3 linked regions of the Astyanax mexicanus genome follow. The protein of the gene in region 2 purifies or fractionates together with the protein of the main gene of each other region. This does not show direct contact. Links are inferred from orthologs where the notes say so. Each region holds a gene or a part of one and is shown on either strand. Other genes may lie near its edges.

Region 1 (8,455 bases), on a different chromosome or scaffold from region 2:
CTGATATTTACTAATCTACCGTCAATGTGAGCAGCAGCTGCTGTGCAGGATCTGCCAGATTTGTTGGACTTGTTCAGCTGACGATTGTAATAAGGTTGTAGTGTGCTCTTGGCCTGGGCCATGAGGAGGGTCGGGGGTACGGTGATGGAGAATGGGCCATTTCTTTTCCTGCTAATGTTCTTGTTTGGAATCTATGTCATATGTTATCAGTGTAACTGTTTGGAAATCACCTCTTTCATAAGTGTGAGAAAGTGAAGAACACTTTTTCTTTTTCTTTCACAAAGGTGCCCTCTGGTGGAGAAATAAAAAAAACTACTCAAAATACACCTCACATGAGCTCTGGTCCAGTTATATCAGAATTCACTTACTTTATCAATCAGTAATCCTGACCTCTCCAAATCCCTCTAATTTGACATGTTGGTTTAATAAGGTGTAACTACCAGATAATATAATATATTAAAGGAGACTTGTTATACCTCTTGGTACAAATATCTATATTACACTATATTACACTATATTACAGTCTACATATCTATATTACAGTCTATATATTTATATTACACTATATTACAGTCTACACTCAGCCCGCAGCATTGATAACATTTTTCGGTTGCGGGGCCATTTGATGCTGAGCGATGTTGAGAACTTGACCTAGCACTCAGTTCTGTATCTTTACAACTAAGGCTGTATCTCTGAAAACATTTTGTCCATTGAGTTTTAGAGCTTTGAAATTGACTGTGGGGTGACAGCAGGTAGGCGTTCTCTGCTGCAGTGCTGTTAGCCAATCAGAGGCGATATGTTTGCATGTATGAATATTCATGACCAAGAGCCAAAACCTGTCTTTCTCCAGAGACCTCTAATTCAGTGATCTAAAGCAGGGATAAATAGAAACACTGGCTCACATGGCATCCATTCATACTAGAGACTACAACTAGACATTTTTAAATGAATGAAAAAACGATAGAATGAGACCTTTAAGTCCTGGATGTGTCAGCATTTTTTGCAGCTAAATTAGAATATAATAGGATACAGTGAGAAATGGGGCTCTTATCTATATAGAAACCCTTTGCCTTGGAGTCTATAAAGGCTTAAAGCTCTGCCAAAAACCTGGGTGTCACTTTTGACAGCTTTAATACCCACAACGTCTGCAAAACAGCATTCTTCCACCTCAGTAATATATCCAAGGTCTGCAGGATTGACTCTCATGGCTGGATAACTGTAATGTGCTTTTTCTGGCCTGCCAAAGATCTCCGTTTCCAGCTTGCAGTGGTTGGGAAATGCTGCGGCGAGGATTCTGACCTGCACAAAAATGAGGGCTCATATTTCACCTGTCTTTAAAACAGCTGCTCTTTTCCCATCACAGCCGTTCAGGGGCTGTATTCTTGATGATCTGAAGACTCTTGATGATTGTGATTGTTGCACATTTAAAGCAATAAAAATAACAGCTTAAAATAATTTAATAATCCACTTATAATATAGTAGTGTAAAAGAAGTGTTTGCCCTCTTCATGATTTCTTATTTTATTGCATGTGTGTCACTCTTAAATGTTTCAGATCAGTAAACAACTGTAAATATAAGTAAATCACAATACAAGTAAACAATTTTTTTTATTATTATTAAGTGAGAAACAAATCCAAACCTACATGGCCCTGTATGAAAAAGTGTTTTCCCCCTAAACCTAATAACTGGATTGGCAGCTCTTAGCAGCAACAATTGCAATTAAGCGCTTGCAGTACCTTGCAATGAGTCTTTCACGTCTCTGTGGACAATTTTTGGTCCACTTTTCTACACAAAATTACTGTAATTATGCCACATTGGAGGATTTTCCAGAATAAACCACCTTTTTAAGGTCATGCCACAACATCTCAATACTGTTCAGGTCAGGACTTTGACTAGGCCACTCCAAAGTCTTCACCAGACCATCACACTACCACCACCATGTTTTACTGCTGGTATGATTTTTTTTTATGTTTCTTAAATGTTATTTTAAGAAACCAGATGTCAAGGGACACACCTTCCAAAAAGTTAAACTTTTGTCTCATCAGTCCAAAGAGTATTTTTTCCAAAAAGGGGATCATCAAGATGTTTTCTGGCAAAATTGAGATGAGCCTTAATTTTTCTTTTCAGCAGCGGTTGTTGTCTTGGCATTCAGGCCATTTTAGAGTCATGAATGTTGACCTTAACTGAGGAAAATGAGTCCTGCAGTTCTTTGGATGTGGTTATGGGGTATTTTGCGACCTCCTAAATGAGTTGTCGCTGAGACCATTGGTAAACCTCAAGTACATTCACACCAGATCCTTTACACCATTGCTAATTTTTAAATATTCATAATAACTTAAACATAATGTGTGTAATGTGAACAAATCTGTCCCTGAAACGCCTCACATGCCGCCTTTTTCACCAACAACAAAAAAACACATATTTGAGAGACGACCTGTAGCTTTCTAAAGGGAAATAAATGCGTTAGCAGCATATGTGGAGCTTCTTTTGCTGGAGTGGAGAGCAAACGGCTGGTCTGAAGTTTATGCTCAGCTTTGCAGCTATAGCATGTAGCCCATGCATAAAAGCAAAAAGACTTATGAATTCTGATTGATTCGACCGTTTACATTCATGTCGCATGTACATGGATCAGGTACGTATCTGATGTAGGACCATATATGGTTTTGGCTCAGATCTGATTCGAAAAAAAAAATGGATTTGGCACATTCACACAGGCATGAAAAAATATATGAGTAACTTCAGCCTGGTAATGTGAACATAGCTTTAATTATCTTACGCCCACATCTTAGTAAGTCGTGGCAATTACTTAATTATCTCATTCCCATGCACTAGAATATCAATCCCACGCCTTAATAAGTTGTGGCCATGCATTCATTTTTAACATGTTCTCACTTTAGGGGCTTCATAGGGACCATGCAATAAAATGTACATTATACAGTGTGTGACCTGATTCTGAGTATAAGGACTGGAGTCTAATGGAGAATGAATGTAGCCTTTGCTTAGTTTTACTGAATTGTTTAAAGTACTGATCTTCAAAACACGTGCTAACGTGTTGTATGCGTACATATGACATACAGATCATGCAGTACGTGCCCGGCCGGCTGCGTCACGCGCACAGCGTTCACTCACAGCGTGGCTCACGCACAGACAGACGTACAGCGCACGGGAAGCGAGCTGCTGGAACCGGCTCAGTGGGAGAAACCAAGTTCTCGAAAAAAGGGGGGAGACATAACTAGAACAGCATTTGGACAGGTTTTACACCAGTTTGACTCAAAATAAGCAGGTATGCTCATGCGCAGCAATGTGTTTATTTTATAAAATAAATTAAAACATGTACGAAGTTGTCTAAATGTATTTAAAGGGTTATAATTTACGCCCTATATCAGTGTTGAGCGGGCTGGGCTCACATGGCCTGTTCCTTTTCTCTGCGCAGGGGGGTTCGCGCCGGCGGCACCGCACATGGTCCTGCGAGGAAAAACGCTGGATTACGGTTTTTAACACCCGCGAATCGCGCTAATCGCCCGGTATTGTCCACAGCGAAGCCTCGATGAGAGATACGGAGGATATGGACGCAGAGCTGGAGTTTGATGAAGGCGAGGAGCCTTCGTTCAGCGACCCGGAGGACTTCGAGGATGATATCAGTGATTCGGGTAGGTGGCTGGGAGAGCGGCCGGCCCGGCGAGGCCCGCCTTCGGCCGCGGATTTCGCTGATACCGCGGTCATGCGGATTTCGGTAGCTAGGCTTATATATAATATATTTCATTAGCGTTATATAATTATTTGGGTTGTGATCATAAGCTGTGTGGTTTGCTGTTGAAGTAGTGATTCGGGAGCAGCAGCTGGATGCAGCAGGCATGATCATTCAGTGCCCGTTAGCTTAGCTTAGCTAACGTTAGGTTAGTTAGTCGGTTGATTAGGCCATAGCTTAGCTTAGTTACGCTATCAAATACAAAATCTAGCGTAATTAAGCTAAGCTAACAGCGGCTACCTGGATAAACAGGCTCACATAAACTACGTTATTTAGCTAACATAAGCAATTCTGTTAGTGTCTGCGAAAGCCCAATTTATTATTTAATTTTTAGCTGAATAAATAAGTTAAGTTAGCTATTTAATACGCCATAGCAGCATCTGAACCGGTGTTCTGTCGACTTCTGCTACCCATCAGTACCTGCTTTCGAAAGGCACTGCGCATGCGCCAACATACATTTTTTCATGCTCTTTTTTTTATAATAATTCTTTTTCTGTGTTTTTTGTTCGTTTATCAACCTTACATACATTACATACAACTGTAAATGACAATTTAATAATGTTAGTAATATGTTATTACCGTTATAATGTAATATAATATTGTATACAATATGTATTATTAATAAAATGCAAAAGCAGATTCGAATAACCTCTTATTTCCATAACTTCTCCCTGAGACTGTGCTTTATTGTGTCCAAGAAAAGCACATAGACTTTTACTGGAAATATTCTAGGTTTTAATATTGTACTTTTTGTGTATTTTAACCTTTTAAATATGCACCAGAGACGCACAGATTGACAAGGTAGCAGAACTCGACAGAACACCGTACAACATGCTAGCTAGCTTAGCTTAACGTTAGCTGTCTGGCTAACAAGCGTGGACAAAGCTACTATCCGTCTATGCTAAGCTAAAGTATTCTAAGCTATGCTAAGCTAATGAATGAGGCGTGCCTGACAGTTGGGTCACAATGTAACTTAAGTAAATAACTTTATTTTATGTGCTAATTAAGCAATCTATATGCCTTCCTCACGAACAACATGTATCCTTAATTATTAATAAATAAATACACGATAACCAAATTGATTGTTTCTCACTAAATTAAATAATGTCAAACCCACTATTTTAACATTTAGCTACTAGGATTGTGCAGTACATGTATTGTTAGCTAGTTATATATGTTTTAGTTATATTATGGCATGGTGCTGTCTCCAGGCAACAATACATTTCACATTTGGTGACTTTCCCTGTAAATTTATTTACTTAAAAATGTATAGCTATATGTCCTGCACATGTCTGCAATACATTTATCCTACATTTCTTATTTAAAAAATACAAAAAGTGTTTCCTTGCTATATAATGTGTGTTAGATTTATATTTTAAATACATTTAGATTGTAAGTCTTTAAATTACAGGTGAGCATTATGGCTCTAAAATAATATTACAATATTTCATGGTATTTTCACAATAACGATACTTTTGGCGATGTGACAAAACACTGAATATACAATAATATTTTGTATCACATTTGACACAACTGATATATCTAACCTCTAAATGGAAGTGATCTGTCATGTCATTTGTTAGTTTGCAAAGCTGCTAGGATATGTATATTTATGAAATTTTGATATATAATAATTATTAAATTTAACTAGGCCTGTCACAATTTTTTATATGGACATGACCTCAATATTTTCCACTGTGAAATTAGTCTGCATTGGCCTTGTTTATGAGCAGTGTTTTAGATGTGTCATTCTTAAATAATTTTGGATTCTGATTTTTAAATATTTTTAATTCAAGTTCAAGAATTAATTGTAAATGCATTATTATACTATTTTATTATCATAATATCACTGTCATTAAATTGTTTTAAAAGGAGAGTGTATTTTTATTGCAATTATTTCTTTGTTTTAGACCTAAATATATGTAACAGTGTTACACTGCTCCTTAAAGGGCTACACTTGCTCACTTAAAACATCTTAAATAAGACCAGCCTCAAAGACATGTTATCAGTGGTAATGTTATCTAATTGAGCAGCTGAATGTAACGGTTTGCTTGTAATTGTAGTTGGCAGTTTCTACAGTAGTTCTTGTAAGGGTTTTTAAGTCCTGCTCCTGAAGCCCTGCCAAGTGTATTATTGAATAGAACATCCATTATAATCTAGAGAAAGGCTTCTTAGTAGGGCTTTTGTTTCAGGTGTAACAAAAACAAAACTGTATTCCAAAAGAGAATGGTGCAAAAATGGTTGTTTTAGAAATGCCAAAGAGTTACTAGAGGTGGAAAAATAAGTTTTATTGTAGCTTTATATTTTAATATATATATTTTTTGTTGTATCCACAATACTTTAGACATATCAAGGACATCAGTAATTAAAGAATACCTAATTTTACATTTTATAAAAAAAAGCATAATTAGACCTGTTTAATTGGACGAGATATTTTGAATGAATCACATGTATCGAAATATTTGTTGTGTGTTTTCCAGTTTTAAGTTGTATTTTTTTAAAAACGTTTTTGCTAATTTATATAGAGGGATGTATGTATGTATACATACATACACACACACACACACCTTAACAGCTTAGATATTCTTAGAATTCCCTCTATATAAATTAGCAAAAACGTTTTTTAAAAATACAATTTAAAACTGGAAAACACACAACAAATATTTCGATACATGTGATTCATTCAAAATATCTCGTCCAATTAAACAGGTCTAATTATGCTTTTTTTTAATAAAATGTAAAATTAGGTATTCTTTAATTACTGATGTCCTTGATATGTCTAAAGTATTGTGGATACAACAAAAAATATATATATTAAAATATAAAGCTACAATAAAACTTATTTTTCCACCTCTAGTAACTCTTTGGCATTTCTAAAACAACCATTTTTTATATACACACACACACACACACACACACACTCATTACTATTTGTTTTACTCTCCTAGTTGATACACAGGTTGCATAATTAATATATGTTTATTTTTTTCAATTATCATTCAGCCCCAGTGAATTTGTCTTTGGAAATTGTTATGTAATGTTTTTACCATGTGTTCAGAAGAACTTGAGAGTTTGTTTCCCACCAAATGTAGAATTAAAAAATAAATTCTTAAAAAATGCTTCTATATGGATTAATTAAATGACTATCAAAAAATCAATTTGTCGCACCTTTCAAGAGTGTATGTTTCTGTTGAATTTTCACTTTATACTATTCTTGGCCTTTGCAGAGCTGCTGGGAGACATCCTCAGGGAGAAACCTCAGGAGGCTGATGGTATCGACTCGGTCATTGTCGTTGACAATGTTCCTCAAGTAGGACAAGACCGTCTGGAGAAACTCAAGAATGTCATCCACAAGATCTTCTCAAAATTTGGCAAAATCACCAACGAGTTCTACCCAGAAGCAGACGGCAAGACCAAGGGGTGAGTGCAGGTTTGACTGCCTGTGTTGTGAAAGTAGGTTAAGTTGAATTTGTCTAATAATGGATGAATCTCTTGCGTCTGCTCTCTGCTGTTCAGGTACATTTTCCTTGAGTATTCTGTTCCAAGTCACGCACACGAAGCTGTGAAGAACGCTGACGGCTACAAATTGGATAAGCAGCATACTTTCCGTGTCAACCTGTTCACTGACTTTGACAAGTATGTTCTGCTCAATTAAGCATTTTTAAAATGTTTTTTGCCTATTTCTGAAACACTATATTAATTTAAAATGCGTGTTTAATTTATCATTTCTAGGTACATGTCAATCAGTGATGAATGGGAACCTCCTGAGAGACAACCCTTCAAAGATTTTGTGAGTAATACAGACTTTTAATAGCACAACACATTACTGTGATAGATTTTTAGTTTATCTAAAGCCTGATAATGTTTGTCCAGAAGTCCACTCATCTTTTGACTTTTACCTTTCAAGAAACATGACACTTAAACCCATTGTCTTTGTCAAGCAAAGCTTTAAGGAGACTTATATCATTTGCATCACATGAGGTGGATTGAAATTGTAGATCCACGCTCCAGCTCCACCCAAAGAGTAATTGTTATACAAGATAAAATAAGAATAAAATAAAGAATAAAATGTATAACAAGATAGACATATATGTACAAATGTACTAAAGAAGGAGCGGCAACTCGAAATCCAGAGAGCAAAGGCATAAGGCACAGTTGCTGTAGCAGCATGGATGAGCATGAATGAAGAGCAGCAGTATGTTGAAGTGTGACAGTGCGGAGAAAGTGTCAGCAAAAGCATTGTATCTCCAAAAAGTGTAAATTTACAGGAGAACGTATCCACTATCATTTGAAGTTATTATAAGAAGTGTTTGTTTTAAATCATTTTGGGAATATAAAAACTACGTGAAGATGAGAATGGCAGTGGCCATGTTTACCACGCTTGTGCTAGAAAAAGATGGGATGTGACCTCAGTCTTAACCTGTCCCTGCAGCACATACACTAGTAAGCAAAAACAAAGTGATGGTATGAGCACACACAGCTGGAGTGAATAAATAAATAAGATAAATCCAGGGTTTGCATAATGTTGACTATTAATATTAATACTTTTGGACAATACTCCTTAATATTGTCCAAAACTAATAGGATACAGTGGTGGTAGTGATTAGAAACTGTGCGTAATGTCAAACCAGCTGTGCTGGTCTAACTTTAAGGTTGGTAATTTGATACCTATATATATATATATATATATATATATATATATATATA
Region 2 (8,455 bases):
ACACACATACTACACATACATCTTTTACAAAATTTGTTTCAATTGGATTTATTAGGAAGGCAGAGGTGCAACAGATAATCCAGTCCTACCAGCGCTCCCCGGGTACAAGCATGGTGCGAGGGTTCAGTGTGAACTACAAGCGCCATGTCCTGACCATGGATGATCTCAGCACCCTTTATGGGCAGAACTGGCTTAATGACCAGGTAAAGAATGGAAAGTTGTAATTAGGATAGTTAAGTGTAACTCTTATAGTTAATTATTTATTTTCCCTGTTGATCTGTTTATTTCAGGTTATGAACATGTATGGGGACCTTGTAATGGATACAGTTCCTGACAAGGTGAATATGACACTTACATTCTTTGTGGACAAAATACACAAAAACAATATCTTGTGAAAGTAAGCTGTCATTGTATATGATATGATTTAGGTCATTTAATGGGCTGAATGCATATAAAATAAATATTTTTTAATCCATGTTTTCTAGGTTCATTTCTTCAACAGTTTCTTCTATGACAAGCTCAGAACTAAAGGTTATGATGGGGTTAAGCGGTGGACAAAAAATGTAAGATTTTTCCTCTGATTTAAAAGAGATTATTTTTTTTACTGATCCAGTCATTTTTTTTTCATGGTTCTTCATTTGAGACTACACAAAGAAACAGAATGGAATGGAAGTCTTATGCCTTTAGAGCCTTTTGTTGTTTTCGATAATACCAATGGAAGTCTTATACTTGTGTGTATTTGTGTGCGTAATACATTTGGTTTTCTTTACACACTGATTTCAGGTTGATATCTTCAGCAAGGATCTACTCTTGATTCCTATTCATCTGGAAGTGCATTGGTCACTAGTGTCTGTGGACATTAAGCAACGGTTCATCACCTACTTTGATTCCCAGCGAACTCTTAACCGTCGCTGTCCCAAGGTCAGCACCTCTTGTGTGCTTATTTGTTTTCTAATTAGCTTTTGTTAATTTTTTCCCAGCGTAAACTTGCAGGCATGCTTCTAACCAGCTTCTAACCAGTTCTCTTTCCTTATTCTTCTTGTAGCATATTTTTAAGTACCTCCAGGCAGAAGCTATCATAAAACAACAGAGAGATTTTCTCACAGGGTGGAGAGGCTTTTTCAAAATGGTAAGTTATTCAACACCTGACTAATGACCACAAAGTGTTTCTTAAGAAATGTATGGGTCACTGTACATGTTTCTTTGTATGTATTTGTCTCTTATTTTTATAAAGATCAAAATTACATTAGATTTAAAGGGATTCACCGGTATTAACAATTTCAGATATACAGACCTAAAACAGTAAAGATCCCAGGTTGTGTCTATATAGACCATTCCTCCCATACTGGCTTTAAATAAACAGTCAGTCAGTCAGTCTGCAACGAAACTGTTGTATCACCTCTTTGTGATTTTGTTGCTCATTGTAAGCCAGCGTGCTAATCGCTCAGATATGTCTTAAGCTGAAAAGAGCTGCCACACAAATTGCCCAGTGCCGCAACCGAGACAGTTATATATACAGTTTTATGATAAAAAAACAATAATGTTCCATAAGGTATTGTAGTGAATATGCATTTATCTGGCCTTTGCTCACTTTTGTAATTTATTGTTTGTGGTAATCAAGTTAGCTAGCATGTTTTGCATTTTGTTTCAGTAATTGGGTGAATGTTCACCATGCAATATTATTATTTTAATAATTTTACAATTACTGATTTCCCACCTAAATAGAGACTTTTTGTATAGCCAAGCTTCTAGTTTAGCCCCAGCTCACTTCTATTTCACATGACAATGTGAAACATGAATGTGTATTATGACTTTGACCTGCATTGGTTACGTTTTGCTCATCTTGTTTGTTTGTTTTTTATTTGATTGTGCAGTGCTGGCTGATATATAGCCTCAAGTATTGAAAAACTAGACCTGGATTTCTCGCCAAATTTTTTTCTCTCCAACTTTTCAGTTTTCAGTGTTGTTAGAAATTTAGATATTGGGTTTGTAAACTGCTTACATTAGTTATTAGTATATGATGGTTTATGTTCTGAGTTTGCTGTGTTAACAGAGGTCATATCTGTGTTTTAGAATGTAGGCCGACAGAATAATGACAGTGACTGTGGGGCATTCGTTCTTCAGGTAAGTAAAAAAACTAAATCACCATGCCACTTTCTACCATTTGGAAAGGTATGATTTTACTTAATTCATTTATTTTTATTTTTTTCTGAACAAATTTATTTAAAATAGAGTTCCAGTGTATTAAAGAATTGAATTTCATCAACTATATCTAAGATATGTAGAAATATATATATTATACTTTGGTTTCTGTTTTGTACCTGATCTTTTTTCCCCAAATATTTGTCCACTTGGTCTGAGTCTCTTACTCTGTTTTGTTCTAGTACTGCAAGTGTCTGGCATTGGGACAGCTCTTTAGCTTCAGTCAGCAGGACATGCCTAAACTGAGGAGATTAATGTACAAAGAGCTTTGCCACTGCAAGCTCTCACTGTGATACTTATGTCAAAGCAATGCAGCCAGAGGAGGAAGAACAAAACATCTGGAAACTTCCATCTGTGTAAAAAAAAAAAAAAAAAAAACAGGACATTGCTGGACACTGCATTATCAAACCCACTTGTTTGTTTTTGTTTTGTATCAGTGTTACTTTCTTGTGCTTGTGGTGGCCAATGTCTTTTCTAATGGCTGCTTTGTTGAAATGTGGCATTTTAATGGGAGCCATTTTGGACTCTTGCAAGAGGCTTCCAAAGTGTTTTCTATGATTTTGCCTCCGTCTGTAAAGGTGTTACAAATCTTTTTTTTAATTGTGGGGAAGTGTCATGTTACTCAGATGTGCAAGCATAATCATATTTCACTTTTATTTTTCAATAAATCATGCCTTATGAAAATGAATGAGTGAGTGTGGTTAAATAACTGTTGGCAACAAGTATATTTTGTACATTGGAATGTAATAATAATATGCTTAATAATAATACACTATATACATAATACATAATATCATTGCCAGGTTTGATAATGGATATTTTGAGTTTATTTTTAGATTTTGGCAACACGGTGCAATGTATTGCATTTTTTTTTCTCTTGTATTAGGTTCTGGTTGTAATGTAATTATTTACATTGCCAAAAGCAGAAAAAATGTCATATCAGATTGTCAGTCTTTCTTTGAAAAAAAAAAATGATTACACTAGATTATATTAGATTAGATTATACCACAGTTTTTGGCTATTTCAACCACATATTTTGTGTAGTTCCAGTGTAGCAACACATACCATTTACAATGAACTGTAGAGTAACTGGTCAGGTTGAATGTACTTTATAATCTTAGTTCCGATGATTGTATGAAAAGTTGGTTCTTTTCAGTAGCCTGCAAAAATCTTGTATCCCAAAAATGTTAGGAGAGGTTACTTGAGAAAAAAAACCCTTATTAGTTTTATTTCAGTGGTAGAAAAATGTGAAGTAAAGTGGTAAAAGATTTCTTGGGGAAAACAAAGTGACATTAACTTAATTAAACTGAAAACTTCTGCTTTCAAACTGTCAAAAAAGTAAAGAATCATTTTTTCTGTGACTTATTTGTGTATATATATTTTTTGTATTATTTTTCATTATTTTTATCCTCCTTGAAGAGCTCTTGACCAGCAAAGGGTATGATAACCAGCTGGTCCTAAGCTAAATTGTTTTAGCAGGGTAGTTGATCAGTGTAATGTGAATAAAAAAGAGACTGAACATTTTAACAGCAAATTAGGGTATGAGAGTAATAAAAGAAATACATTTAAAAGTTTTTTAAAGAAATAAAGTATATTTGTCTGAATATTTACATTTGTCTACATAGGACATTTGTCTACATATGAGGAAATTCACAGTAAAATACTTCTTATATGGATAGACCAATCTACGCAGTCATATTTTCTATTCTAAAAGCTGATGTACAAAGAAACTGATTTAGAGAACAGACTGTGCCTTGACGTCAAGCCTGGGGCGGGCTGTGCCAGGGCGACGTGACGAATTTAACGTTTTAACCTATGAGGTGTCACGTTGGAAAGCCTTGGTTTTGATTGACGAGACTCTCCTCCAATCACAATTGTTCAGGCCTCGGTGCCTTGGCGTATTTAACACATTTCCGCCGTTGTGCTGTTCTTTGTGATAATGTCGGCTGAACATGAGGATAGGTAAGTGAGGGCTGGGAGAGTAGCGTGGGTGCTAATTTACCCTAATATAAATTTCTATATATATTTATATATTTAAACACGTTATTTGACTCGTTAGATATCTACATTTGGGCAGCGGTGGAGCGAGTTGACCTGGATGAGTGTTAAATTTAGATTAACCGGACTGTGAAGCGAATAAACGGCGGGGCACGGCAGAACGCTGGTTTAAGCTAGCTTAGGTAGATAAAAATGCGAGAATTGTTAGTATTAATGTCGGTAAATGCGTGTATTGTGTTTATTTAGGTCGGATTAGTTCTGTATCGATGTTAATTTGGTGTTTTAGCCCGTTTTCTATCCTTATGTTAAAACGTGCCGGCTCCTGTAACACAACGTGACCTGACCGGTTAGCTCGGTAGCTTAGCTTAGTTTAGCTGAGCGTGTCAGTTAGGTTAGCGGTGGCGGCCTGGGTGCCGGTGTTTTGTCGAATTGGTCTACCCGTTGATATGTGCTTTTTACGACCAGTGCGCATGCGCATTTTAAAGTTTATATAGTTATGATATGACCATGGAAAATACAAAAAAGTGGTTCTAATCACCCATTGTCATTTAACAGAACCCTAAAATATAGAATTTAGACTTTCCAAAATTCATACCGAGACTTTTTTTTTTAGCGAGCAACTTTTTAAATGTGCTTTTTTTTTTCTGGTATTTTTTTATGTTTAAATACACACTTTGGTAGCACGATTTGGTAAGGTAGCACATTTCGACAGAACACCGGCTCGTGGGCCGCACATGGCGCTTCTTCCTCCCTTTCTCTGTTCAGCGCTGTTTTCACTCAACATGTTTAGTACTGTTTTACGCTTTAGTTATTTCGATCTAAACATTTAAAATAAACCGGATTGTAGGGCTTTAGCGCCATAATACACGATTTCTGTGTGTGTTTGAACTAATTTCGATGAGAAGACCGGAGCACATGGCCTGCCGGTTTGGACAATGGAGAATTCCGCTATATGGGATGAGCAGGCCGGAGTCTAGTTTAGCTACAAGCTAAGCCAGGTTTATCGCTCCAGTCACTTCGGATTTGAAGAAATTTGAGATTAATAGTAGCCAGATTAGCTCACTCTTGATCTCTAAACTAGATTATTATAGTTAGATAACCCAGATTATATTGCTCATTCGTCTCTAGCGAGCTGCGTTTCGCAGGTTAGCTATTCGCTGCAGTCAGCTAACGCCTAGCTAGTTAACAAGCTAAAGCTAACATGCTTTACAAAGATCTATGCTTAGCTAAAAAAATCTGAAGTATTCGTAGTCTAAAGTCATGTAAAACAATAGTAGTGCGTGTTGTCTCTTCAGTGTTCCTCTTTAAATGTTATATTAACCCGATTGCCTGTGTAAAATCTTAATGTAGCTCTGTAGCCTAGCTCCTCGTTAGCTAGCTAAGCTAAACTCGTGTGAAACGTGAGGGCAAAGATGGCGCCCTCCAAAGCCTTTTTCACAGAAAACTGCGACGTGTCTGGCGGTGTCCGCTCCCCCTCCATCTTAGCTAAATCTTCTATCCACGTCCTTCTCATTTGATTAACTTTTCTGTTTTAAACCAACGATTACCTTTGTTAAATTCGGTCTTATTTATTGAGGCAGGTGAAAAGTGACTATGAAAATTGGAGCTTTAATTTGAAATCCAAAATCTCAATGTGTCTGAAAGATCAAATTACTCTACTTTCTTCCAATACATGACATTGCATTAATTCTGGTTTGTTCTCCTCCTTTTAGACCTAGAGACAATGGCCCCGAGGGCATGGAGCCAGATGGAGTCATTGAGGTGTGTTGAATATCTTTTTCAATCATCCATCTGTCTAATTACCTGTAATTGTGTTTCTGAAAAGTTCGTTGTTACAGGTTGACTAAAGTACTTCTGCTTATTCCACAGGGCAACTGGAAGGAAGTCGTCGATAGTTTCGATGACATGAACCTCCGTGAGAATCTTCTCAGAGGAATCTATGCCTATGGTTTTGAGAAACCTTCTGCTATTCAGCAGAGGGCTATTCTCCCTTGTATCAAGGGTACGTAGACAATATTTCTGTGTAGAATAGTCAACCTTTTATATACGTATGGTCGATTCACACATGAGTCACCATGTGCTCTTGTGAGTTAAATGCACCAATACTTTTTTTACTGTTGTGCCTCCCTTATCATCTGGGCAAGGAAGTGCCTGCTAGTGGCAGATTCCTATATCTGTTAGGGGAAGATCAAACACAGCCCATATTCATCCCAGTCTACTCACCACTATGAGCAAAAGACTGTTTCATGGTATGGGTACAGATTGCAAGCTGTTCCTACAGTAGATTTCTGCTGATGGAAAGCCTCTCTTTATTTTGCCAGTCTTGGCCTGTCTTAAATTTTGACTTTTATTTTGACAGGATACGATGTCATTGCACAGGCTCAGTCTGGCACAGGGAAGACTGCCACCTTTGCCATTTCCATCCTGCAGCAGATTGACATTGAGATGAAAGCAACACAGGCCATGGTCCTGGCCCCCACCAGAGAACTTGCCCAACAAGTAAGATCCAGTTACATGCGTGAGTAGTTCTGTTCTGTTGTGAGGTGACGCAAATGTTTTAGAATGACCCTTGTCATCTGGGCAAGGCAGTGGTCTGTCAGTGGCACCTAGTCCTATATCTGATAGGGGAAAATTGAAATTACCCATTCATCCCAGTCTACTCAGTACAGTGAGATAAAGACTGTTTCATGCTATGGGTACATATTCAACATGACTCACCGCTATGTTACTCATCATTTACCACCAGTTGTGAGTCATTGAGTTCTTAAGCTGTGAGGTGGGTTACAGCATTACTTGGTTTGCTGACTAAATGGAATTTTTTTTTTTTTTTTCTGTAAACACCAGTTAGGTTCAGATTTGCCTGGCCCTTGTAGATTTCTTTTTTTGACATACCTTTGCTGGTGTCTGTTCATGTTTAGATCCAGAAGGTAGTCCTTGCTCTTGGAGACTACATGGGCGCTACCTGCCACGCCTGCATCGGTGGAACCAATGTCCGTAATGAAGTTCAGAAGTTGCAGGCAGATGTGCCCCACATTGTTGTGGGCACTCCTGGGCGTGTTTTTGACATGCTTAACCGACGGTATCTCTGTAAGCAATTTTTTTTTCTTTATCCTTTTTTTTTTTTTTTTTTTCCTAAATGGTGAGCTCCGTGAGATTGAATGCTGTAATGATGAACCCTTATGCGTGTCAACTGACTCTGTAGTACCCTGTGCTTCCTGGCCGCTCTTCAACGTTCTGTTGGGGGTGCGTTTGGGGCCACAGGTCTCCAGAGGCATGATCAGACCTCATTGACCTGAACGCAGCATTACCCCAGTCTTTTTTTTTTTATTCTTTGTGGGTGGCCCCCACATAGTTTACATTTTATTTAAATCAAAAATTAACTTGCTACGCTGACTAGCTTTTTTTTTTTTTTTTTTTTTGTGCATTCTGTTTATATCTACATTCCTCTTTCAGCTCCCAGACACATCAAGCAGTTTGCACTGGATGAAGCTGACGAGATGTTGAGCCGAGGGTTTAAGGACCAAATCTATGAAATTTTCCAGAAGTTGTCTTCGGACATTCAGGTAAAGCTTTTCCATCCATGCATGTGTACTGACGCGCAATGTGACAATGTTTATTTGTTAAAATGGTTCAGGGCTTGCCAAAGTTCCCTCTTCCCCCCCAGCTCTCTCTGCTGGGAATGGAATCAAGTTCTTTGGTAGAGAAATTACTGTTCTCCACCGTGACTGGGTTACTCTGTCCCTTATCACAACTATATATCAGTAGACAAAAGCACATCTATAAGCAATAAAATGTACTTTGTTATACTGAAGTATTACCATAGTCACTTTGTTTGGGACACATTGCGCTAGTTTTGTTACACTAAATGGGTTGCAGTTAAAGCAGGAACTTTAATATTCTGTTTTCCTACAGGTGATTCTGCTGTCGGCCACCATGCCACAGGAAGTGCTGGATGTCACCTCTAAATTTATGCGCGATCCTGTGAGGATCCTTGTCAAGAAAGAGGAGCTGACCCTGGAGGGTATTCGTCAGTTCTACATTAATGTGGAGAAGGAGGTGAAGGAGCTTCTCAAACTTGTCTAATGTTTAATGTTATTCTCCAACACAACTAATTATAGTAATACAATTTTTGAACAGGTACTTGCATTAGGGCCTCACAGTGATTCCAAAGCTGTTTCCAAAACTGCACTATTCACTGTCCTCTACATGTTTGAGTTTAGCTGTAGTCAGCTGAATTAACATGATGGATAATGGG
Region 3 (8,455 bases), on a different chromosome or scaffold from region 2:
CACATAGACACACATTGTTTAACTGTCTACCAGAGAATATACATGCAAATGAGCCCTCCAGATGACAGAATTGAGAGATAATTAACTTGGACTGCTCAAAAATTACATAAGCACTTGCTACTAAGATTAGTTTAGATGCTCACTGATTAGTTCAGTGTAGTGTAAAATTCTAAATATAATATATTTATCAGAAGAAGTTTAACAAAAGCATGGTGCTGCTGAGGAAGATTGTGTACCTAAATTCACATTATGTGCAACTCCTAATTATGCCTTTGCCAGGCACTCTGGATCCCAAGTAGGAATTACCAGTTATCTGTCCTGGTCCAGGAAAACAAGTGCCTCTCTTAGTACAAAGGTACAAGGAAAGAAAACTTACTGCAATATCCAAGATAATTTATTGAATTTATTGACTATGTTTTGACCCTTATTTAACCCTTGTTTTACCACAAATTAAAGTAGCATCTAAAACAACCAATTACAAACATTCTACCAAGAGTACCTGCTTAACGTAAACTCCAGTTCTGGCAAACAAATCCACAATCTCAGGATGGTGCCTAGTCTCTTGGTTTCCATGCCCAAGGCTAAAGTTGGCGTTGTTGCCCCACGTATACACTTCAGTTGGATCTAACAGGTGAAGAAAAAAAAAAAGTAAAGAATTTTAATTTAAAAATTTAAATATGTTTTATGCTACAAACACAACATCAGATTGTGAGTATGCAACATATCTTTATTTAGCATTTAATTTCTTATATTAGTAAACAGATTTAAATGTGAATGGGATTAATTACCAGAGCTCTGGAAAACGACAAGTGCAGGGCGGTCCTTCATAGTTATGTCGAGAACAGACAAGCCTTCCTTATCCAGAGTAGACACTGCACCACCACGCTGCAACCCAAAGACACAACATGAACCAATAAAATAAATTAAGTTATTGTTTGACTACATTTGCAGTCAGTCACGTAATCTACCAAACAAAAATAAATAATGAACTATAACTAACTATAGAGAACTATAAATAGGCTTTCTATTTTTTTTTACTAAATAAAATATGATATTACCAGAATCATAAAAAAAAAGAAAAATACACATCAGCATGAAAGCAGATAACGATGAGTAGATCAGTATTAAAACTTAGCAACTGTTACATCCCTATTAATGATTTAGAAATAATAAAAGTGCACAAAACAAAACGGCAAGTATAAATAAAATAAATAAAACGAAACACACCTTAACAAGTGCCATGAGGCAATGGATCTGGCCATAGAAGGCACTCCGGTGCAAAGCTGTCCAGCCTGACTCCTTGTCCTTGACCAGCAGGTCAGCACTCTTGCTGTCCAGAAGCCACTCCAAGAGGTCACGTTTGCCCAGTGAGGCGGCAAGGTGAAGAGCGGTGCGGCCAAATTCATCTCGCAGAGTGGCAGCATTGTGGCAGTAAGCTGAGAGGAAGGCCTTCAGTTGGCCTTCTGAGCCACTGGTCAAAGCAGCCACAATCTCCTCCGCATGGCGTGGAGAGCGGCATTTTGAAGTACATTCCGGGGTCAACACACTCATCTTACACTCCTCCTAAAACAGCAAAATGTAATACCCCTTTCCCCCAACAGAGTAAACTAGACCTGTTTCAGCCTATAACAGAATAAGCCCCAAAACAACCAGCAAAGCCTCAGCCCCTTTACACAACTCCTTTGATAAGCAGAAAATAAAATAAATCAGCAAAGAAAAAACACTTGAAGCACAAAATGAAAAGCCACTCTCTGACCCCAAAACCCAGGGTGCTAGAATTGTGCATATGTTGAGGTTCCACTGCACCCTAGCAACCCTAGGGTGAATATCCACCTCACCTCAGTCCACCATATTAACAAAAACCCACACTACCCAGTGCAGAAAAAAAACAATCAATGGCATCAAAAAAGGATAAATATTTGGCTATTTTTTATGTACAAAAGTTTTATAAATATATTCTCAGTTATTCAAAAATACTTGTTTCACTTGTAGTCTAGTTTAGATCATTGTGCAAAAGGCAACAAACTCTTCAACCACCCAAAAAGTCCATCAAAACAGTCCATCCAGTTTGAGGGGAAAGACTCCTTCCCCCCAACACTAATCTTTTTAAGCCTCCATAATTGTAAACGGTACCTGTGCAGAAAATAACAATCATCAGATTAATTCACAAGTTAAAAAGATGCATGCTGTATTTTCCAAGAATTGTTCACAAAGTTTTTTTTTATGTTTTATGGGTTAGAATAATGTGTTGTGGGTTTGTCATTTTGTGCATAGTAGGGGTGTCACGATTCTCTAAATCCTCGATTCGATTTCATTTTCGATTTGAGGGTCACGATTCGATTCGATTCTCGATTTTCTTGTTTTTTTTTCTTGTTATTATTTTATGCCTCATAAAATTTAAATAATATATTTATTATTATTATTATTATTATTATAAATATTATAAATATTATTATTATTATTTATTAAGATATATATGGTAATGCCATCTAGTGACTTTTTTTGGTAGCAACAGTGTGCACTATTAAAATAAGCAGTTTATCAGAGCTGTGTGTGGATGGCTGGTGAAACTGCTCATTACATGAAGCTGCAGTTCTTCATCCAACCACTAGCAGCAGCAGCACAAGCCCCGCTCTTTTCACTCAGTCACTACTTCAGTACAGCCCAGCCACGGGCTACAGAGCTCAGCCAGTCCGTTTTTACTGTTTCTGTAAACAAATAAAGGTTTTAACCCCACTAACCGGATAATACAGCTCACTACAGTTCATCTTTCAGCCCAAGCAGCTAACAGCAGCAGGTTAGAACAGCCGACACGGAGGCACTGCTCGGAATACATTATAAACAGGTCAGTTAGCGCGCTGCTAACCTCAGGATGTTTATAACTACGGAGTTTAGTGGACACACCACGCCGCCAGGTAAGTCTTTTAAAGGCTACTGAAGACTATTAAAGGCTATTAGAGTGTAACCCCTGGCTCCCAGGGGTTACAAGAGGTTATTGAAAGCATTATTGGGGGGCAGAAATCAGTACAGGCTGGTTAGATAAGTGATGTGGGTATTGTCTTATAAATATTTACACATAACTTATATCTCTCCTGAAAAGCTTTTATTTTAGTCAGAAACACGCTTGTGTTTACTTTATCTGAGAGAAAGATGTTTTTTTAATTCAATGGAAAGCAACAGGTGTAGTCAATTATAAGTTTAAGATTTTTAATCCACCTCACTGTGATCTATAGTCAGTGTTCTCAAGTCACACTGACACACGCATTTCAGCGAGTTCACACGCTCTCACCTGCGCGCACCCACCCCTCCGTTAGATACAGATACAAAACCTGCGCGCCCAACCCCCGCCCCCCCCCTCCCCCGTTGGACAGATAAAAACAGTGATCACACTCCCGCCGACTGCGCTTATGCAGTGGCTATCTCTATTTAAATGAATAGGATGCGCTGTGTTGGTGCCGCGCCATTTGCGTAGCGCGCTGCGCTATTTGCGTAGCGCGCGCGGGAGGGATCGTCGATCCTCTTTTTGACTTCGATACTCGAGATCGTGACCTCATTTCGATTCGATTTCGATAAAATATCGAGATCGTGACACCCCTAGTGCATAGTAAACTTTGTTAATAAACTTTACCTATGTTTCTAAGTATTTCATCTGTAAATACACCAACAAAAATATTTATATTTTTTCCATTACTCTGCTAAAAACAGTACCAGTACAATTTTACAAATTTTCAAGTAATGTGTAATGTTTTTGTTAGTTTTTTGTTTTGTTTTTTTACTTTATTTTTCCGATCATTTCAATTTCGGGAGATTAATCTTCAGGGCAATTCCATTCAAACTGGCAAATTGATTCACTAGATTACCTGTATGGATCAAATTTAACGCTTCACATTTCTACAAATCTACAAGGCATTTGAGTAGTTGTATGAAGTGGTTTGTGTGGATGTGTCAGAACGGTGGTGAGACAGTGAATAATGCTCCATGCAATCATATCTATGGCGCCACATATATACATAATGTCTGTAGAGCACAGACATAATACATCAGTAATTTTTGCACACATAATTATAGCTTCAGCAACAAAACAAATCCCTCATCTTCTCAAGTTAAGGAAGAATATTGTGAATAAAAAAATGTTTTTTTTTATGAGTTAAGAGTGTCTCTTGACATGTAGGCTGTGGATTTCAGAGTCAAAATGTTCCTCCAAAAGTAGCTACAGGACTTGTCACACAACACTGTTGTGTTAGCTTTAGCTATAGCTTTGAACAGAGCTGTTTATGTTACAAACTTAGCTAATGTTGGGTAACTTGAAGAGCTAGTTATCAAACTGACATTAACCTGCTAGCTAGCGGGCTAACTGTTTTGCAACACAGAGGTGTGCATGCACTGATATATACAAACAATTATAACTACATATTCTTAAATAAAACGGGCCTAACTACTCTTGCTAAGGGCTGCATATAAGGCATGAATAGTTAGTAGCTAGTTAGGGGAATACTTTACAAAGTTAAGAGAAGAAAGCTAAGCTAGGCTAACTAGCTGACGTTAGCTTAGCATATTTGGGATGACATCACCAGTTAAACAGGCTGTAAACCCTCACAGCAGCCCGGCCCAGAGCTCCCGCTCTGTCACCCACCTGCCGTTAGATGAAGGAGAAACTGGGGTTTGAGTCGGAGTCAGTGTAGCAAATCCACAGACACATCTTCAGAGGAATGTTTTAGCTTTTATAAATGATCTGTAGCGCTGCAGACCGGACAGGTTACAGACCGAGAGAGCAGTAAGGAGCGCTGGGATTGGCTCCGGGGATCCTGTATCCTCCGCCTCTATTGGACTCTGCCTCTCTGACTGCTGTGGGGATGTGGCTCATAAAGTCCAGAGCTTTAAAGCTGTCTAGATTATAAACATAACAAGTAGCCTAGTTTCTCATTCAGCAATCTAAAAAATGTCTATTTTAATATGAGCGACTTCTGCACTCAGTGTGCCCATGGCTGGAAGTCGATAGGTTTAGAGGAGCCCTGTGCTGCAACTTCTCCTCCCATATGTGGGGCACTGATAGCACGAGGGTGTCCCCCCGCCTGCGTCACCGGCTGGACAGAATCGTTGACCGAGAGCTGTAACCTACAGGTTTCCATCACTGGACATTTACCACAGTGTCTTTTTCGAAATATAAGCATTCATAAAAAATATGATGTAAAAAAGGGTTATTTTTTATTTGTGCGACAGTTTATTTGTGCTTTAACATTTTAATTCACTAACTTCTGTTAAGCCTAAGTAGTGGGCGGGGCTAGGAACTGCGTTGAGAGCAGCGGGGAGCAGAGAGAGAGAGACCTAGCATTCAGATGGGAGCTCTTGATAAAAACGTCGACCAGGTAAAGAAATTGATCAGATTTTGTGGTTGATTATATAAAAATATACGAAATTGTATTTTGGGGTGTTTTAGAGAGAAAAAAATGTTTACTACAGTACAAGCAGATATAGCATGTTTTACAAATAAATCTACCTCTCAGTTATGTTAGTTTAGTTGCCAGGGCCTCATATATGCTAACAACATAATGTAAAAAATAAAATTGTATTTTAGGTATTTTAGGATGTTTTAGGTAGAAAAATAGGATGTGCTTTAAATATAATAAAAACAAGGGAATAAACTAACAAGGGAATAGTGTCGGACCCTGAAATAGTTATTTACTTAAGTCACTTTTGTAAGTAAAATTAGGTGTTGAACAACCTGTTAAGAATACACCAGAATGCAGAAAATGGCATCTAATTCATAAGCACTTTATGGGGAAGGATCCAAAGACCATACATCCCCACCCCCCATTAAAAATGCTTCTGAAACCCCTGGGTCCCAGGTAATAAGGCCTTTATGGGTAGCCCAACTGGAAATCAAAAAGGTTTGTCCATGGGTTCCACATATGAATGTCAGTGATGGACCCCATCAAGTCTGTAATGAGACCAGGAGGTGTTAAACATGGGCCCCATCTGGGTTATTCACTGCACATGAGGCCTAAATTGGACTAACATGAGAATGAGGTTGGCTGTAATCATATGCTCAAAGACAAACACATGTAAAACATACTCAGAGCTTATACCAACCTGAAGAGGTCACAATGCCCAATTTAAAATTCCCAATTTAACCTTTGGTGTCAGACGGAATGTTGGATAAGTGGTCGTTGTCATCTTTAGGACAATTAGTCAATGAGTCAGTGTTTTATACAAAAATGTAGACCTAGTCCTGGCCTACACAGTATTCTGATTCTGACTCTACATTGAAAGTACCATCACTAAGGTTAATGTTTGTCTGGGATTTTTTTTTACCACTTTAAACTTTCTGGATAATATGCATAAATAAAAGTGTCCTTCAGTTATGTCACTAATAGCACTGCTTTGTGGCTTATGTAATTCAGACTACTATCTGGGTGCAAACTGAGCACTCTCTCGGTCAGCTGTTGTGGGTAGTGATATGCTGCAGGAGTGACCTTACTCCAGTACTCAGGGACTCAGGTTGGCCAACTGAACCAGAATTAGAACAGCAGGAGTAGTGCAGGAGTGTGGGGTTGCAGGACATGATTCACAAGCCAGAAAACGGATATTCAGATATTTGGCACCCCAAGTAAAAACATAGCCACTACTGATATCTAAATATATTCTCCTCAATTATAAATATCACTTGTAAATCCTAAAATACTCTCTTTAAAAAAGGTCACTAACCCAGCAGCAGGACCAGTATCTGCTCCTTTGGATTGCACAAGGAGGGTTGTACAATCCTACTGTTGGGTACCAATATGAAATCCATAGAGCCACTGTCTGACTGTTGGCCCCAAATTCATCCTGGTGCAGGACAATGCTCGGCCTCATGTGATCAGAGTGTGTTTAGATCAGAGCAGTTTAATTTGATTTTTAATAGAAATTTGAATCCATGTTTGAGCAATAAATAATATTTAATTGCAATTACATATTATTAATGAATTTAAAGTAGGATATCGTTTTTGGTCTGGAAATGAAACCTGTTCTCTCTTTTGTGATTTAAAGTTTAAAGGAATATTTTTCTTTCTCCTGTAAAGTGGCCAAATTTGGAGATTTTATTCCATCAGCACCAGTATAGTACTGTCTTATTGTCCTTTTAAATCACAATGTATGTTTACTTTTGCTTAGGTACAATGCTTATTAATACCCAAAAAATGTTCTACAAACTTTACATTGTTTTATGTCCACCCAAAAAAAAAAGGATCTGTGAATTTAAGCATTTCAATGTCTGTTTTACTTTTGTTGAAAGTATTAGAAACATTGTTTCATCTGAAACCAAGAGGATGCCATCAGCCCAGTGAACACAGTTCCACTGCCCCACTTCTACTCCACCTGTAGCCCATGTCAGGCATTAGGCATGGCACCAATTGGTTCATGCTTATCTTTTCCAGAGAATCCATTTCTATTGGCAATACTTCTCTACAGGGACTAGACATGTGTGTGCTATTGCACCTCTTTTTTTTTTTTTAGCAATAAGTGAAACTTAGGTAGCTGAATGCATTAACTAAAATATTGTAGATGTTTTTTTCTCATTATTACATAAACTGCTATCTCATTATTTTGAGATATTAAGTTGTTATTTTGAACAAATTAAAGTTTTTACTGACTTCAGAATAATGACTCAACTTAATAAGGTAACATCTAAAAATAATGAGACAACTTCTCAAAATAATGAAATGACCAAATTGATGATATATTAGGTATCTCAAAATTAAATGGCATCTCAAAATAAAAGATAACATCTCAAAATGTGATAGTATCGCAACATAATGAGATAGCATCTTAGAATAATGAGATTACATCTCAAAACAATGAACTAGTATCCTAAAATAACGAGAAAACCCCTCAGAATAATGTGAGAGTATCTTAAAATTAATGGAAAACATCTCTAAATTAAGATGTACCTAAAATAATGATATAATATCTTAAACTATTGGGACAGTATCTTAAAATTACTATATAACATCAAAATAATGACTTAGTATCTCAAAATGATGTCTCATTTTTATTTTTAGGAGGCAGGAATGGGCTTTAAAAAGATTAAAATGTATTGTTGTGGCAAATGTGTATCTATTTAGTCAGCTAGAAAAACTTAGACAGTAAAATTAGATAGGCCCATGTATTTTTTCCTGGGAACATTCCAAATAGTATTACAGGGGTATTCCATCGCGTTTGTTTCCGTACAGTGTAAAAGTAGATTAATAATGATTTTGAATATTGTCTTTGATGTACACAGAGTGTAAATAGCTAAAAAAAATCGAAGGTTGGGTCGTGAACCAGATAGACCACGCTGTCGTGCGGGTAATGTTGGGTGTGTTAAGTGTGGTGTGTGTGTGGTGAGTCTCGCGGGCTCCCCCGTCCGCTGCTGTAATGGTTGAGTCCACTCAGCGGTCTGTGGACAGGCTGTAGGGAACGGGCGAGGAGGAGGAATCCA

The links.
Region 1: the proteins of eif4a1a (region 2) and eif3ba purify together in Homo sapiens (affinity purification with mass spectrometry; 4 studies listed by BioGRID and IntAct, counting the BioPlex papers as one, with this or other methods). This does not show direct contact. The link is inferred for Astyanax mexicanus from reciprocal best matches to the Homo sapiens genes EIF4A1 and EIF3B.
Region 3: the proteins of eif4a1a (region 2) and ibtk purify together in Homo sapiens (co-immunoprecipitation; 4 studies listed by BioGRID and IntAct, counting the BioPlex papers as one, with this or other methods). This does not show direct contact. The link is inferred for Astyanax mexicanus from reciprocal best matches to the Homo sapiens genes EIF4A1 and IBTK.

The regions. Positions count from the first base shown.
Region 1 is NC_064410.1:55,936,645-55,945,099, forward strand, and holds the start of eif3ba (eukaryotic translation initiation factor 3, subunit Ba), read left to right. Parts: upstream 1-3,259; 5' UTR 3,260-3,283; intron 3,284-3,433; 5' UTR 3,434-3,547; coding exon 3,548-3,650; intron 3,651-6,975; coding exon 6,976-7,168; intron 7,169-7,264; coding exon 7,265-7,384; intron 7,385-7,480; coding exon 7,481-7,538; intron 7,539-8,455.
Region 2 is NC_064415.1:26,205,864-26,214,318, reverse strand, and holds the start of eif4a1a (eukaryotic translation initiation factor 4A1A), read left to right. Parts: upstream 1-4,071; 5' UTR 4,072-4,141; coding exon 4,142-4,164; intron 4,165-5,912; coding exon 5,913-5,961; intron 5,962-6,069; coding exon 6,070-6,202; intron 6,203-6,559; coding exon 6,560-6,699; intron 6,700-7,118; coding exon 7,119-7,287; intron 7,288-7,360; exon of another isoform or gene 7,361-7,500; intron 7,501-7,653; coding exon 7,654-7,763; intron 7,764-8,112; coding exon 8,113-8,256; intron 8,257-8,455. Other genes in the region: senp3b (sentrin-specific protease 3b), read left to right, coding at 56-203, 291-338, 486-563, 784-921, 1,046-1,129, 2,074-2,124, 2,385-2,495. UniProt on the Homo sapiens protein: ATP-dependent RNA helicase which is a subunit of the eIF4F complex involved in cap recognition and is required for mRNA binding to ribosome.
Region 3 is NC_064413.1:27,036,858-27,045,312, reverse strand, and holds the start of ibtk (inhibitor of Bruton tyrosine kinase), read right to left. Parts: upstream 5,017-8,455; 5' UTR 4,634-5,016; intron 2,134-4,633; 5' UTR 1,552-2,133; coding exon 1,228-1,551; intron 886-1,227; coding exon 789-885; intron 625-788; coding exon 500-624; intron 1-499. UniProt on the Homo sapiens protein: Acts as an inhibitor of BTK tyrosine kinase activity, thereby playing a role in B-cell development. Down-regulates BTK kinase activity, leading to interference with BTK-mediated calcium mobilization and NF-kappa-B-driven transcription.